Linked DNA regions of Oreochromis niloticus. Each later gene encodes a partner of the first gene's protein in a complex. Links are inferred from orthologs where the notes say so. Each region holds a gene or a part of one and is shown on either strand. Other genes may lie near its edges.

Region 1 (7,909 bases):
GTCCCTCTGCTGTGGAGACAGTTTGGGGTAACATAGAAATATTCACACGATTCCAGATAGAGGCTCACGTGATCATCAGATCATTGACCTTGATCGCACTCTCACACTTACCAGGACCTGGAAAAGCACCATGAGCAGCTGGTTGCTCGCCATGAAGTTGCTGTCGAGGACGCCCAGGTTGAACCAGCTGCCCAGACAGCGAAACACCTTAATAAGCATCTTCTCGTCGTTCCCAGTTTTCTCCACGCAGGTTGTCTGAGGACAAATAAAGTCAGAGTCCTGTTTAAATAAAGATTAGTGACATCATCAGTGACATCCCCAATTTTTGAGTGATAACAGTTTCCGCCACATTATCATTATGGTTGTATTACTAGCCACACCCCTACCTTAATGACAACATGCAGCTAATGTGGCTATCATGTGACAGTTAAACAGCCACTGGCCCGGTGAACAGATACGATCAACATTCAGTGCTGTTCAGACTGAAGCATTACTGAGCTGTCTGACAGGTGAGAGTCAGACAGGTGTCTCACCAGCAAGGTAACCACGGTGCTTGAGTAGTACGCCAGGTCCTCGATGATCTCTGTCCTCCGATTCGCTCCGATTCTAAGTGAGCGGCTGTGAACTTCCTCTGGGAGCACGGTGAGGATCTCTATGAGGAAGGGCATTGAGCTGATGTCATTGTTGTACCTGAGAAGGGGTGGAGACAGAGGAACAGGTGAGTCACTGACCAGCTTCAGAGAAAACATTATGTGAGCCGATTTTGTGAATTCTTACTTTTCTATCAGTGTATGAACACATCCTTTCCAGGACGCCATCTGCAGGGCAAGGTCAGCGATCGCCAAAGCCAGCTGAGGGAAAGGGTGATGAAGGTCTGAGTTACACAAGTAAAAACTCTCACAGACAAACTTTCTGTTTTTAAAACCCTGATGATGTCACTGCAAGTTCAGCTTACTTTTTAAAGTTAAACCCCCACCCTCCGACAAGGTGTGGTAACAACCATACAGATGTATTAAAGCAGATGTTAACCAGCTCAAGCCAACATTAAACATCACAAGTAAGAAATATTTCTCAGGGTGATTCTGTGACAGCACTCATTCCTCTTAACTAAAGCGATAATCAGCTGTTTCCAGGGAAACCCCACTGAGACAACTTTACAGCTGACTCAAGCCAACAACAAAAGGTGAGGATCAGTCAAGAGTCAATGAAGTCCTATTGACTCCGATCAGATGCTGATACCGGCGGAACAGGTGTAGTTACCTGGGTTACAATGATGGGCGACAGGTCCTTGAGGTTTTGGATGTGCGTCAGCAGCGAGTCTCGCAGTGCATTGTGGGTCTCTGGCGGGAGCTCGTAGAAGCTCGTCTGGATCTTCATCTTCATTGTCTGTGCGGCGAAGTAACACGACTCCACGTCCTGCTTGAGCTGCAGCAGCTGGTCTGACACCTCCCAAGCATACATCTGAGGAGGAAGTGATGTCATAGCGAGGGATGGGAGAAGAAAAAAAATCGACACGGCATTACATTATGATATTTTATCTATACAGGGACACCAAACAAAAATAAATAAACTAATTAAAATATGAAGAGGGGGACTTCAGACTAAATTGAAGGAGGCAACTTTATCAGGTAACTGCTGTATTATCTCAAACAGATTGCACATAATTGCCAACTTGACTCCATTCAGTTGCAGACTGACTCATATTATGGCAACATTTATGCAGGTCTTAGTGAAATTTTGGTGAGCTTGGTAAGAAAGCAAATGAAGAGATGATGTTACATTGTTGTATAAAACAGGTACTAACAAAGTTTAACTTTGACAACATAATCTACAGTTTAAAGGTGGTGATTGTGAACATTACTGTAATACTGGCACATTGTAAAATGTTAAAAATCAAATCTTCAGTGAAATATTTTCATAAGATTGAATCGTTGGCTGTCTGCTGATTCTGCTCCTTATCATTAATGCCCATCAGCCACTCAGGAGAACATCTGACCAGAAAAACATCCTCATGTTTCCAGCTAAGTGACACTGCAATGAACCGTTTGATCTGTTGTCCCCAAGAGATCAACCACCTTCTGACTGAACCTGAAGCTCTTCAGGTGTTCTCCTCAGGTCCACCTGAGAGGCTCGAATTAGTTCTCAGGTGACTGAAGGCTGTGAGCTGGGGCTCCACAAACACCCGACTGAGCATGCTCACTGATCAGCTGACTGCTACAGGGGGAAACTTTCACCTGCATAACTTCAGCCCTCACGCACTGTGGCTGCCCTTTTACCCCAGGTCACCTGACTGTGACCATGCTAACATGCTAACAGCTGAATAAAAACAAACAAGCCGGAACCGCAAACAGGAAGTCCAAACACAGGCGGGGAGCGCTTCATTTATTCACCTGCAGCAAGGTGACTCACTCACTCATTCACACACACTCTCTCACACAAACACACACACAGAAAGAAACAAACAGACACACACACGTGCGCAGGCAGGCAAAGTAACATACAGACAGCTAGCAGTTAGCATAGCAGCTAGCTCGGCATGTTTTCCTCCATTCATTTTCTTTAGCTTAGCTGTTATGCTAACGGAAGCGGTGGCTCCTCTGAGACTGCGCACTACATTTCACCTGTGCGTTTTCACACAGGTAAACCCCTGAAATCCGCTTCACACGGATCCCCGAAAACACGAAGCGACCTCCGCCCGCCCGGGCCTCTCCCCCCCGCCCTCTCACCGATCTCTGCAGCTCTCCCAGCCACAGCGAGGCGCGCTCCTTCCCGGCCGGGTCCGGGTCGTGGTACAGGGCCTGGACCGCCTGGTACACCAGCGCCAGGCTCGGTTTGCCGCCCTCCATAGCTCGGGTCAGACACAGGGACGCGGTGAGGCAGACAGCTCGGGGTCCGGGTGCTCGGATCCGGGTTCAGGGTCCTAAACGCTCCGAGAGCCGACCGCCATCTCACAGGCTTTCCGCTGCAACTGCAATCCCGGTCCCACCGGAAACACGGGCACCAAAAGAAGTTCCGCTTTGTCCTCCCGGAAGAAGACTTCTGTGAGAGGGTAATTAAAAAATAAAACGATGAAATAAAATGCAGTATATTAAAATAAAACAAAACAAGGGGCACAATAATAATACGATACAATAAATTACAATGCAGTACAATAAAAAAAATAATTTAAATTTAATGACAACTTATCATAATCATCCATCTTCTGCCTCACACCTGGGTTTGGGTGGTGAGGGCAGTAGCCTGAGCCAAAAAGACCAAACCTCCTTGACCCCAGTCACCTTCAACAGCTTATCCAGGGGGAACACTGAGATGATCCCATTTCAGCTGAGAAATTTTATCTCTGAAGTGAGAGCATCCCTAAAAACAACCCAGGAGGCATCCTAGTCAGGTGCCCAAACTACCTCAACCGGCTCCTTTTAATGTGGAGGAGTAGCAGCTCTACTCTGAGCCCCTCTCAAAAGACTAAACTCCTCACCTTGTCTGTGACAGAGAGGCCAACCACACTTCAGAAGAATCAGAATCAGAATAGGGTTTATTGCCAAATGTTGAGCAGATTGAGCAGCCCTACCACCGGGCCCCCCTAAGCCAACAGAGCTCCATGGATACTTGGGACACAAAAGTCCTCCACTACAGCAAGGCGATTTACGGAGGGGATCCTACACGAAGGAGTACAAATAAAAATAAACAAACATCACAAACATTTACACTTGAAATTTTTGTAATTACTGAATTAACATGCTGAACCTGGATAACGGAGAACCTACACACAGTTAAAATCATCACATTTAACCCCGAGTGTGTGTGTGTGTGCGCGTGCAGTCACACTGTTTCAGATCAAACAAACTTAAATATCAAAGTTAATCTGAGTGAATACAAATACACTTTTGATCATTTCGTTTATTAGGGGAACATGAACAAGTAGCAGGTACAGGCTTAGTTTCATCACTGACATCAATGTTAAAGAGTTCGACCAGTGGCAACATCTGCTCAGCTTCATATCTGATATTAATGAAGCTGTTCAGGCTTGCAGGTTACAGACAGATCAACAACAGCTGATGATGTGAGCTAAAGTTCTTATGACTGACATGTTTCTGATGCTTCCAGATTTATTTTTTTTTGTAACTAAACCAAACCTGATGCAGGCTGTGGCCACTACTCTCAGGTAGACTGACAATCCTTGGGTTCATTTCTCACATTCATCTCCCACTTCCTGTGACCTCTGACCCTGACTAATGATGTTAGTATAAATGAAGCCCTATATGGAAAAGAGATCCTGGATAAAGAGATGCTCAGGGACCTGATGACGTGCTCTGAGCTCTGAGATCTTCATAAAATAATTTTAAAGTCAAATTTAACTGCACTAAAACCCAAAGAAACACGGCTTTAAGTCATCTGTGAACAGAATTTAGGGCATTGATTAATCAATAAGTCATTTTAGTGGGGCATTTTTATTCACAGAAAAAAAACTGAGCTGCTTGGAGTTTGATTCAGTTTCAATAATCAGAAGTTTGGAAGTTAAAAACATTTCTGAAGTTATAATTGTAATAACAGGATAATAAATCTGATGAATAATAGTGTGCCTCAATGCTCCAAAAAGGAATTTTATTAAAAATAATAATTAAACCAAAACAGCTTCTGAGTTTCATTTAAATGTTTGAAGTAAAGTAATGATTCACACAATCAAATGACTTCATTGATCAGCAGGTTCTTTTTTATTTAACAGTCATTAAGGATGAAAATAAATAATACAGTATACATGAACACCTGAGGCCACTGTGACCTTTAGTGTTACAGCACAAACTCACAACAAACAAAAACCTAACATTAAACAGTGAAAGCAGTAGACATAATCTCCGGTCTTCATACCTGAACCACCAGGAGCTTAATCAATAATCCATAGTAGCAAGTAATCAATAGTCAATACATCAATGATTAATCAGTCTGTTAAGGCTGCATGTCACCTCCAAACTGAGGTCGTATCATACCCATGCTCCATGCAGCTCACAGCCTGGTTATGATACAGCCCCCGCTCTAAAGGTCAGCAATCATTGATCAATCGATCGATCAATAAACATTTCTCCTCATCCGTCCGGTCCAGGATGAAAATGGGCAACAGAAGTGGAGATGGAGCAGTTTCTTCTTGTCTGTGACGCTCTCTGGACTCTGAGCAGGAGAAGTGATCAAGATTGGAGGACAGCTCCTTCTTAAAGGCTCGGCGTTCCTCCTCTTCCTCACAGTCTTCCTCACGCTGAACCCCTTTAACCGTTTCAGTGGCCGTGAGTCTTCTAATCTGACTGTGTGACGATGTTTTGAGGATTTGGAGGATTGAGGAGGATCACCTGGTCAGGTAAATCTGAAATATCCGGATTACATAGGAAGTCGGACACACGGAAAAACAAAAGACTCTTATTGGATTTAGATCCGTCAGCCACCTGCTGCTGCTCTTCATCATCAGGAGTCTTCATCGCCCTGCTGCGGGCCTGACAGCAGCTTGTGTTTATTACACTAAAAACTTTGTAAACATATCATGAACAATATTATACAGCAGGGACTTACCTCTGCATGTGTAAGAAGGATTTTTAGAGTTGGCAGCAGAGCAGCAGTCAGCTCTGTTGCCTCACTAAAAGAAGATCCTTGTTTGAATCCACCAGCTGGCCTGGTTCTGTCTGCATGTTCTCCCTGTTCCTCCCTGGGTTCTCTATGGCTTCCTCCTACGTCCACACATCTCTCTGACACTGGTGACCTGTCCAGGTGTCTACTGTGGTAAAAAGTAGCTTCCATCAACTACGCCAAATTTCTAAGGCTATACCCTTTATACCACGCAGAGATCTAGAGAAACTTATTCATGCATTCATCACTTCAAGACTAGATTATTGTAACTCTCTTTACTTGGGCCTCCAATCTTCCCTCCTTCAATGATTGCAGTTGGTCCAAAATGCCGCAGCACGTCTTTTAACCGGCACTAGAAGGTATGATTCCATCACCCCTGTTCTAGCCAACTTACACTGGCTTCCTATCAAATATCAAATCAATTTAAAAATCTTATTGTTTACGTATAAAATCCTGACATTCGCGCATCAGATTCTATTCAATCTTTTAAATCTAAAAACGTACTTGTTTAACCTGGTTTTTAAGGCTAATTAGTGTGGTTTTTATCTGGATCTGCATTTATATTATGTAATTATTTTATATCTGTAATTTATATTTTATATTGTGATTTTATCTGTATCATGGTTTTACTGGAAAGCACTTTGGTGCACTTTGGTCTTTAAATGTTCTATACAAATAAATTTGGTATGACATGATATGATATGATATGATATGATATGATATGATATGATCTGATCTGATATGATATGATATGATATGATATGATATGATATGATCTGATCTGATCTGATCTGATATGAAGTGTACCCCGCCTGTCACCCACCGACCCGCCCACAACCCTCAGCTGGTTGGATGGATGCTGATGTTTCTAGTTATTATGTGTAACCAAACTTAAATAGTACAAATAAATCATTTAGCATAACTAAAGTTTGAATTTCATGTTATTAGCTGTTAATATGATTGCTGTTTTATGTTTAGATCACTAATAATTTAGTTAGTGAAATCAATCATTAAATTAAGTCTGTTTGGTAACATCAACTGACCACAGGGTTCCAGGTTCAGTTCCTCCGAGTTAAAGGGCTAATTCCAGAGCCATTTACTAAAACAATAAATAAATAAATAAATAAAACCAGTCAGAGTTTTATAAAAACAATGTATAGGTGAAAGAAATGAAGACGTGCATGCAACCACGATCACTTTTAAAGCAGGAAGTATGTTTTGAGTTTTCTGAAGTGAACTCGGGTGGATCCGTGTGTTCAAAGAGAAAACCTTCTGTAAGCAGATTAAGGAGTCAGAAGTTCTTAATCCTGAAAGTTTAGAAAAATCCCAGCAGCATAATCTTTGCTGTAAGTGGTTTATGAGCGTATATAAGAGGCTGACACAGCGGCAGCAGCAGAGAGCTCAGGGTCACAATGGGGAAATACTTCCACCTGTACGAGAACATCTCCAAAGTCAGTCCCTTCGAGGGGCCCCAGTATTACCTGGCCCCTACCTGGGCCTTTTACCTGCAGGCTGCCTTTATGGGATTTGTCCTGTTTGCTGGCACACCTTTAAACTTCGTTGTTCTCGTGGCGACGATGAAGTACAAGAAGCTCAGAGTTCCCCTCAACTTCATTCTTGTCAACATCTCCTTCTCTGGCTTCATCTTTGTCACCTTCTCCGTCAGCCAGGTGTTCTTAGCCTCCATGCGAGGTTACTACTTCCTGGGTCACACGCTGTGTGCTCTGGAGGCTGCCGTGGGCGCAATTGCAGGTAAACCACCCGATCCATTGGCAGGATACGTACAGATGTGTGCAGGTGTAATGGTGTGTTTCTCCCTCCTCCTCAGGTCTGGTGACCGCCTGGTCTTTGGCGGTGCTTTCCTTTGAGAGGTACCTGGTCATCTGTAAACCATTCGGAGCCTTTAAGTTTGGCTCAAATCACGCTCTGGCTGCAGTGGCCTTCACTTGGTTCATGGGGGTTGGCTGTGCCTGCCCACCTTTCTTTGGCTGGAGCAGGTACTGTAGGCACCAGGTGATTCTGCCCATGTGTGTGCTGTACAGGTGAACTGATTGTCTGTGTTGGTAGGTACATCCCTGAAGGTCTGGGCTGCTCCTGTGGACCCGACTGGTACACTCACAACGAGGAGTACAACACGACCAGCTACATTTACTTCCTGTTGATCACCTGCTTCATCTTTCCTCTTACCATCATCATTTTCTGCTACTCCCAGCTGCTGGGTGCTCTGAGAGCAGTGAGTCAATCAATCAATCAATCAATCAATCAATCAATCAATCAATCAATCAACACTAAGTGATTA
Region 2 (7,197 bases), on another chromosome or scaffold:
GACAGACTGTAGCATGCTGCAATTTGCAACTTCATGAACAGCCGGCCACTTCGGATGTGTAGTTCACCAGTCTGAAAGGAATTCACTCTTTTGGGAAATTGAACAAACAGGAGCCTCAGTTAAACTAAGGTTTTTTTTCTTCTTTTTTAATATTAATTTGAATTTAGCATCAAGTCTCCCAAAAGTCTGTTTATGAGCATATATCTTTCCTCTCAGTTTAAAACCTGGCAGGAGGTAGGTCAGTCAGAGACTGAGGGGGAAAATAAGGAACACAAACAAGCCCCAGATATTGCAATATATAAGAAAAGGAATCAAATCAGGAAGCACTTCAAGTGCTGGACAAAGTTTAGAGCAATGGTAGTGGCTGTTCAATGAAAAGCCATGTTGAGAACTGTTTTGATCCCCAAAAATGGGACTTTACAGTATCAGATTACAGATGCCTTTTGTTGCACGATCTTTGAGAAATGAGTCCAATTAAGCATGGTTAAGATTCTTGAACTGTAATTTGTAACAGGAATGACCAGAACCCATTGCTACATTTTTCTTCTTTTTAAAGATGCTGAACTATTACAACAAAACTACAGAACTAAGGTCAGCAAACACGTGGACATTTTTCTTGAGGAGCGCATCTTTGAAAAACAGCCAGCCAAGTGAAGATCTTGAATCAGGGAGATGTTTACTCATGTGTAGCTGAGGATAAGAAGTGGGCACAGAGGTAAAGACACTGCAAGTTCGAACACTGGAGTTTTACAAATATTCCCCTTTCAACCCGCCTGTCTAACAACCCTCCCTCTTTTTGCATAACGGGGTCCTTGCCTTCCTCGCAATTTGAGAACACGTGACATTCGGGGTTTGCTTTAAGTGGTTCTAATGGTTTCCAGCCTCTTTGTCAGAGAGGGGCACAAAAGAAATCTGGCAACCGTTTGGAAAGAGGCATCAAGTTGGGCACAAAACTGAGGGGCATACATGGTGATAGGCTTCACATGTTGGGGCTGTGAAATCTCAATTTACAGTGTTGATGTGTACAGCATCTCAACCTGCCACTTAAAGCAGGTATTCAAAAACTAGAGGGGTGCTGCGCAGAGTTTGTCTATGCCAAGTTACTGAGATGTGCTTTCAATGTTCCTTTAGATTTTGTACAGACAGCCCCAACATAAATGCACCCAAATACCTGAAATACATATTATTGATGCTTACCATAGCTGTCGTATCCATCGCGGTAGGATCCAGATCCTGAACGCTCACCATATCCACCCTGCCCCCTAATACAAACAAGAAACTTGCATTTAGAACGCATTCGAAACAAATTGCATTCAAACAAACTTAAGCTCTGATTATTTACCTGTTTTCCCTGTAGCCGCCTGAGGAATATCCTCCACTCCTGTATCCACTGCCACCAAAGCTCCTGTCTCCACCACCAAAGCTTCTGTCACCATAACTCCTGTCTCCATACCCTCTGTCTCCACCATATCCACCTATTAAAGTCAAATCAGTTTTAATTTCGATATTGTTAGAATAAACCTTTAATTTCAACTTTTTAAAAATATTCCCACGTCGCACCTCGGGAATAACCACGCCCACCTCTCCCTCTGGAGCCGCTAAATCTGCCTCCTCGTGGGCCGGAGCCAAAACCGCCTCTGGAGCGCCCTCCCTTTCCAGCTTCATCCACCCGAATAGCACGTCCATCCAGCGTCTGCAATACAACAGGAAATGTAAGAATGTATAAATAAAATCAAATTAATTATTTAATTTTTTTTTTTTTTTATTTAAATTCGATTATAAATGAAGCAGCATGATTTCTACCTTTCCATTCATGGCGTCCAGCGCGTCTTTAGCGTCCTCTGCATTGTCGTATTTTACGAAGCCAAACCCACGAGATCTTCCGGTTTCTTTGTCTCTGATCACGTCCACTAATCAGAGAGAAATTCCGATTAGGCCACATATTTAGTAAAATATTTATGTATAAAGTCATTTTAATCTATATACACTCAAGAGGAATAAAGAGTTTTAATTACCCTTCTCGATGGTTCCGTATTTGCCGAAGGCCGCAGCCAGGGAGTCCTCGTTGGTCTCGAAGCTCAGACCTCCGATGAATAATTTTCCCTCGTCCGACATTTTTGCTATAGCTACAAAAAAATAAATAAAGGCAATGAAAAAAAAGTCTCTCACAAATCCTTAAAACTAAGACGGGGCTCTTGATCGTCGAAAATCCTCGACACACACGATCGCTAAACAGCCGCAAAGAGAAAGTAGGTCACCGGAGCAGTTTCATAAAATGGCGATCATTGCTTGCGCAGTTATGACCTACATACCTCCCGACGTTTAACAGAGCATTAAATCCGAATTTATCATAAAACTACATCATATTTGACCGATAATCGTTGCTAAAACTCAAAAATGAGTCACACTAGGCCTTGGGCCTGAAAACGTGACGCAGTTTCGTTAGCGGATTAGCTGGCGGTTTTTCTTCCAGCGCCATTTTGTAGCACCACGCTACACGCTTTTGTTTCAATGACCTACTTTGCGCCAGCTCGAGGGGCGGCCAACTGCCTTATTTTTCAGCTTATATAACTGCCCCAATTAATACAGAAAACACAATATATTAACATATTTCTGCAAATTGAAACGATTTACCATTTTAACATCGAAAAAAACCCGATTCTAATACGATCAAATAAAAAAAAAGCGACAAAACGTATGTTAATTTTTTTCAATTAATAGAAAAGGTCAACTTGGATAAAAAAATGCTTTTCATACTTTACAAATACAGATGCACATGAATAAGATTATATTTCACAACCTACACCGTGTAGACACAACACCTAACAAAGAAAAGCATTTACCTTTGTCTCTCACGGAGATTTAAGGGAAGTTGCTGGGAGCTGCGATGGAGGTCGAATGAGGGGGAAGAACGAGCGCGATCCGCTTTTCACTGCAATGCGCACTCACTCCTTCTTCTACTGCTGTTTGGGCGGCAGACCGTTAGAACAGCCGCAAACAGCGCCATCTTTTGTTTAGGGTGACGCAGCATAGTGCTGTTAGGTTGGGCCGCATTTAGATGTCTTTAATTCCTCTTCGTTTTCGGCTGATGCCTTTAGGGGTCGCCACAACGGATTATTTGCCTCCCCCTCACCTTATCTTTAGCATTCTCCACCATTACACAACCTATCTGCATTTCCTCTTTCACGAAGCTCCTCTGTCCTCCTGCCTGGTATCTCAATATTACCCCGCAAAAAACGAGGTCCTCAGAGCCGATCCCTGATGCAATCTCAACCCTCACCGTGAACCCATCAGTCACTTCTGGGCCTTTTCATCTCCAAGTAGTTTCCCCAGCAGCACAGAATAACGTACTCTGATTTGAATAATAATTTGTATCTGATTTGACTTTGCAACCAAAAATATAAATTTAAACTTCAAAGACAGTTTAATGTCTTTGAAGTGGCCTTCAAAGACATTAAACTGAAAGTATGCGTATATTTGTGTCTTAAACAGAAACCAGATTAATAATTAATCCAGAGATGCTTTGTTTTCAAGTACAATAAAATAACAGCGTGCTAGCACAATTACACAAACAATGAGTGTAGTCAGATGAATGCCAGTCATAACTGCAAGTCGCTTTCATATGTTGTTAACGGAGAAAATGATTCAACTGTGTTTATTTTGCAAGCCTCGAGTGCTTTGTTTGCGTGAGTCACGATGGCGGTAAGGTGTGTGGGGCCGAAGTCCTGTTTGTCTGTGTGGGAGGAAGATTTATCTGCACATGGACGTCTAAGCGATGCAGTGTGTTTTAATGGAGTGTGTGGGGGAGGCAAAGAGAGAGAAAAGAACGACTGTGTAGGAGGCTCAAAAACCCATAGCTGTCATCTGCAGCGTTCTTGCAGCGCTTAAAGGAATAGATCAGCGTGCAGGGAAAGGGTTTCATCCTCTTTCTTGTAAATGATCGGATTGATACCGCCAAAACGAATTCATCCGGGCAGGCAGCAGTGTGTAGGCTACACTATCATGGCCGACTGTGCCTGCAGCGCCGAATCTGCAGCACAGGCGGTCTTTAGGATTCAGGACGAGCAGCCGTTGTGCTGTCTGATCTGTGGCGCTGGGCGTGCTGCTGCAGCTGCACACTCAGTGATCACAATCAACAGAGCTGCACCGAAAACAACGCCAGCATTCGTGCTGCAGTACCCAGTTGTGTGCTGATCGTCGTTTGATAGCCGAACGAGAGAGCTTCCACTCGCCTGTTTCTGCTCTCAGCTTGCAGATCACACAGGCTACACCTGAGCAAGGCTTCGTGTTTGTCTGCACGTCAGCAGCGAAAGCAGGCACAGATGTTTCAGCTCATCCCGAACAGTTTCATGTTGTGCCGCTGTGATTTGCATCCTGTGAGCTCAGCTTCAGACGCTGGCTACAGGGAGGCGAATGCTTTAGTTTATGGCATTTTTCACAGAGTACTCATTGGAGTGCCTCTAAAGAGTCATAGCATTAATAATACACATAGTTATCCATGCAAATTCTGGTATCTCAAGCAAGGGATGGTGTCAGGTACAAGGCCAAACTGATCAGCATTAATAATGTTCCAGAGGTTCGACAAGATGTGCCAGGATTCCATGATGAAACTTAAGGGTAGGCATGCAAATTCTGGTATCTCAAGCATCACGTTTTAGACCCTTTGCTTGTCTTTAAAGGCCCACCGAAACAATCTGAAGTGTTCAGCTGTTATCATGGAAGAAGTGTAAAGAATGCTGGTTGGCTGCACATCAGTGCTTCTACTTCCTGTGCTTTTACTGTCGAGGAGAACCAACATTTCATTATATCTTAGATCGTAACGCTCAGCTTTACTGCACCACTTAGATTTTCTTGAAACCTCTGCTCCACTAAGAGAGATGGCAACACCTCTCTGAAACTCATATGGCTCTTAATAATGAAAAGCGACAAAGCACAGAGGTTACAGAGTAACCTAGAAAGCTGCTTCTGTTGATCCAGACTCTGTTTTTTCAGTGGGAGAAACATTTCACCACTCATCCATTCAATGTGCTGACTGCAGGTGTTCCTAGCCTTATGGATGATTGAGCACATAGTATTTGAAAGGATCTAAGCATTTAATATTGAAATAGATCATTCATCTTCACCACATATATATCTCCTGATCATAGATAAAAGATTAGCTGTGACAAACAAACAGAAAGGATGTTTAGTAAAATAAGGCTGAGACATTTTCATCTACAAAACGACGAAGACAACATTATATTCTTCATGTAAAAAGAAAAGGCTCCATTCATAAACGCTTTCAGATTTTTTATTGTTTCCCTTTATTATTTGCATATTTTTTTGCTTCTTTGTATTTCATAAATAAGATATTTTCAAGAAACATTGCTTGCATGGAACGAAACACAGTCTTACATTCAAAACATGTACAATTAAGGCATCAGAGTACATAGAGTAAAACACCAACAGGGAAATCTATGTGACACGTGCTACATACTGCAACAGCCGCAGCTGCCGTCACTGAAGGACAGACTCAGATTACACATCACACAGAGAAAGCCACAACATTTAGACGTATAGTTTCAGATAGTAGAAAAATACTAACAAAGGCTCATTTTTTTATAGCCCTGTACGGCAAGGTCAGCTCTGGTATCTATCATAGTGAGCGGGTCTTTTTACATTCAGAGACTAGGGGTGATGGTGGCGCTTCTGGTACGGATGAGAGCCTTGTGAGATGTGCGAGGTCTTGCGAGCCCTCCTGCGTAGACGCCTCTCGTGCATCAGGAGCTGGAGGTGCTCTAGCTTACAGTGCAGTGTTTGATTCTCCTCTGTGGACGAGTGTATGACGGGACCCTCGTGGCCTACGTCACCTACAGAGAAAGAAATCGATCAGGCACAGAAAACTAAGGTCTCCATGGGTGTTTATGGTGTGCTCTGCCATTAATTACTGCATAAGAAATACACTCAAAAGCCACTTTGTCAGGCTTAATTTGTATGTCTGCTCATTAATGCAAATATCCAATCAGCCAATAACATACAGACATGGTCAAGACGACCTCCCGAAGCTCCGACCCAGAATCTGTTTCTCTGACGCAGTAAAAATACGACCAGTCGAATTTTCTAAAGCTGCAGCTGTCAAATGCTTCGTCTTGTTCTTCCACCTGTCAAAACCCTCAAAGTTAACTACATAGAAGCGATTGACAGACAAGCTGTGAAGCAATTGTTCTGCTTGATTTCCTCATATTTTCAGCTCTAATCCAAACATACAAATCCACAGGAAACCCCGTCAGCACGAGACAGTCGGAGCCTAATAAGGAAGCGTAAACACTCGTGGATGAGCTGTCATTAACACTGCCTGTAAAGACTGTAATAGTCTTTATACTGACGAAGGCCTGCGTAACTGCTGCACAAGTGCTGCGTGACTAAATATGACACAGCAGAGAAACTCGTTTTATTTCAGCTGGGAGGAAACACGAGCGTGTTTTATTCTCTGGGGGCCTCAAACAGTCTCTTTTTTATTGTTTTTGTTTTCATTTCCCTGTCCTGATTTCTAAAATGCACACTATCCCAGGATTTGCATGCATTTACATGCGCGTTATGATGACATGCTCTCCAAGTTTCCAAAATAATATTCGCTTGAACTGACCTGGAGCTCCGCAGAGGGCCTCTGTCCTCTGCATCGCTGGTGGTCTGGGCTCTTCTGCTGTGAGCAGCGGGCTGACTTCAGCGCCTGGAGCAGGACAGCGGTGTAGAGGAAGAGGAACTGGAGCCCCCTGGTGGTGGTAGGCGGCTTTGAGGAGGTCGTTGAGGATCTGGAGAATAATGGCGACACCACGTCGAGGATGACTGAAACCGCTCTGACTGCAAGGGGCCAGGGTGCCTGAGAGGAATAAAGGAGTTATTATTACTTTTTTCTCTCCTTATCCTAAAAAAAGCTATTCAAAAGAGAAAGTTCATTAGATTAGAAAGAGTACCCGTATTGTTGCAACACTAGGAAACATCACTGGTTTATGTTAATCAGACCAAACAAAAACTGCTGAGCAGTCTCCAGAGCAGACGTACCAGAGAAAGTCCCAGAGAAGATGCCAGGTGAGTGTCTCACGAAACTCTCTATGACAGCTCCTGGAGGATTGGGCAGCTGTGCAGTGGATGAAGCATTAGCATTACTCTGTAAGGGACAAATATCCACCTTAAGGAATAAGTCTGAGTAATAAAATA

Evidence for each region.
Region 2: the proteins of tnpo3 (region 1) and cirbpa are in contact, whole or in part, in a crystal structure (PDB 8CMK), measured with the Homo sapiens proteins. The link is inferred for Oreochromis niloticus from reciprocal best matches to the Homo sapiens genes TNPO3 and CIRBP. Residues at the interface, in NP_036602.1 of Homo sapiens: Arg620, Glu660, Arg661, Cys663, Arg664, Arg667, Phe668, Arg671, Ser698, Cys699, Tyr702, Ser705, Ile706, Asp709, Glu710, Asp747, Asp750, Asp751, Arg754, Arg758; in NP_001271.1 of Homo sapiens: Tyr160, Arg161, Ser163, Tyr164, Asp165, Ser166, Tyr167, Ala168.

What each region holds. Positions count from the first base shown.
Region 1 is NC_031981.2:23,252,400-23,260,308, forward strand, and holds the start of tnpo3 (transportin-3), read right to left. Parts: upstream 3,004-7,909; 5' UTR 2,847-3,003; coding exon 2,727-2,846; intron 1,462-2,726; coding exon 1,261-1,461; intron 852-1,260; coding exon 778-851; intron 691-777; coding exon 534-690; intron 256-533; coding exon 112-255; intron 10-111; coding exon 1-9. Other genes in the region: opn1sw1 (opsin-1, short-wave-sensitive 1), read left to right, coding at 7,023-7,362, 7,439-7,607, 7,678-7,843. UniProt on the Homo sapiens protein: Importin, which transports target proteins into the nucleus. Specifically mediates the nuclear import of splicing factor serine/arginine (SR) proteins, such as RBM4, SFRS1 and SFRS2, by recognizing phosphorylated SR domains.
Region 2 is NC_031982.2:13,239,538-13,246,734, reverse strand, and holds the start of cirbpa (cold inducible RNA binding protein a), read right to left. Parts: upstream 3,002-7,197; 5' UTR 2,844-3,001; intron 2,127-2,843; 5' UTR 2,116-2,126; coding exon 2,016-2,115; intron 1,911-2,015; coding exon 1,804-1,910; intron 1,694-1,803; coding exon 1,561-1,693; intron 1,476-1,560; coding exon 1,343-1,475; intron 1,263-1,342; coding exon 1,198-1,262; intron 691-1,197; coding exon 677-690; 3' UTR 88-676; coding exon of another isoform or gene 83-87; 3' UTR 72-82; coding exon of another isoform or gene 64-71; 3' UTR 1-63. Other genes in the region: midnolin, read right to left, coding at 5,668-5,849, 6,626-6,859, 7,042-7,147. UniProt on the Homo sapiens protein: Cold-inducible mRNA binding protein that plays a protective role in the genotoxic stress response by stabilizing transcripts of genes involved in cell survival. Acts as a translational activator.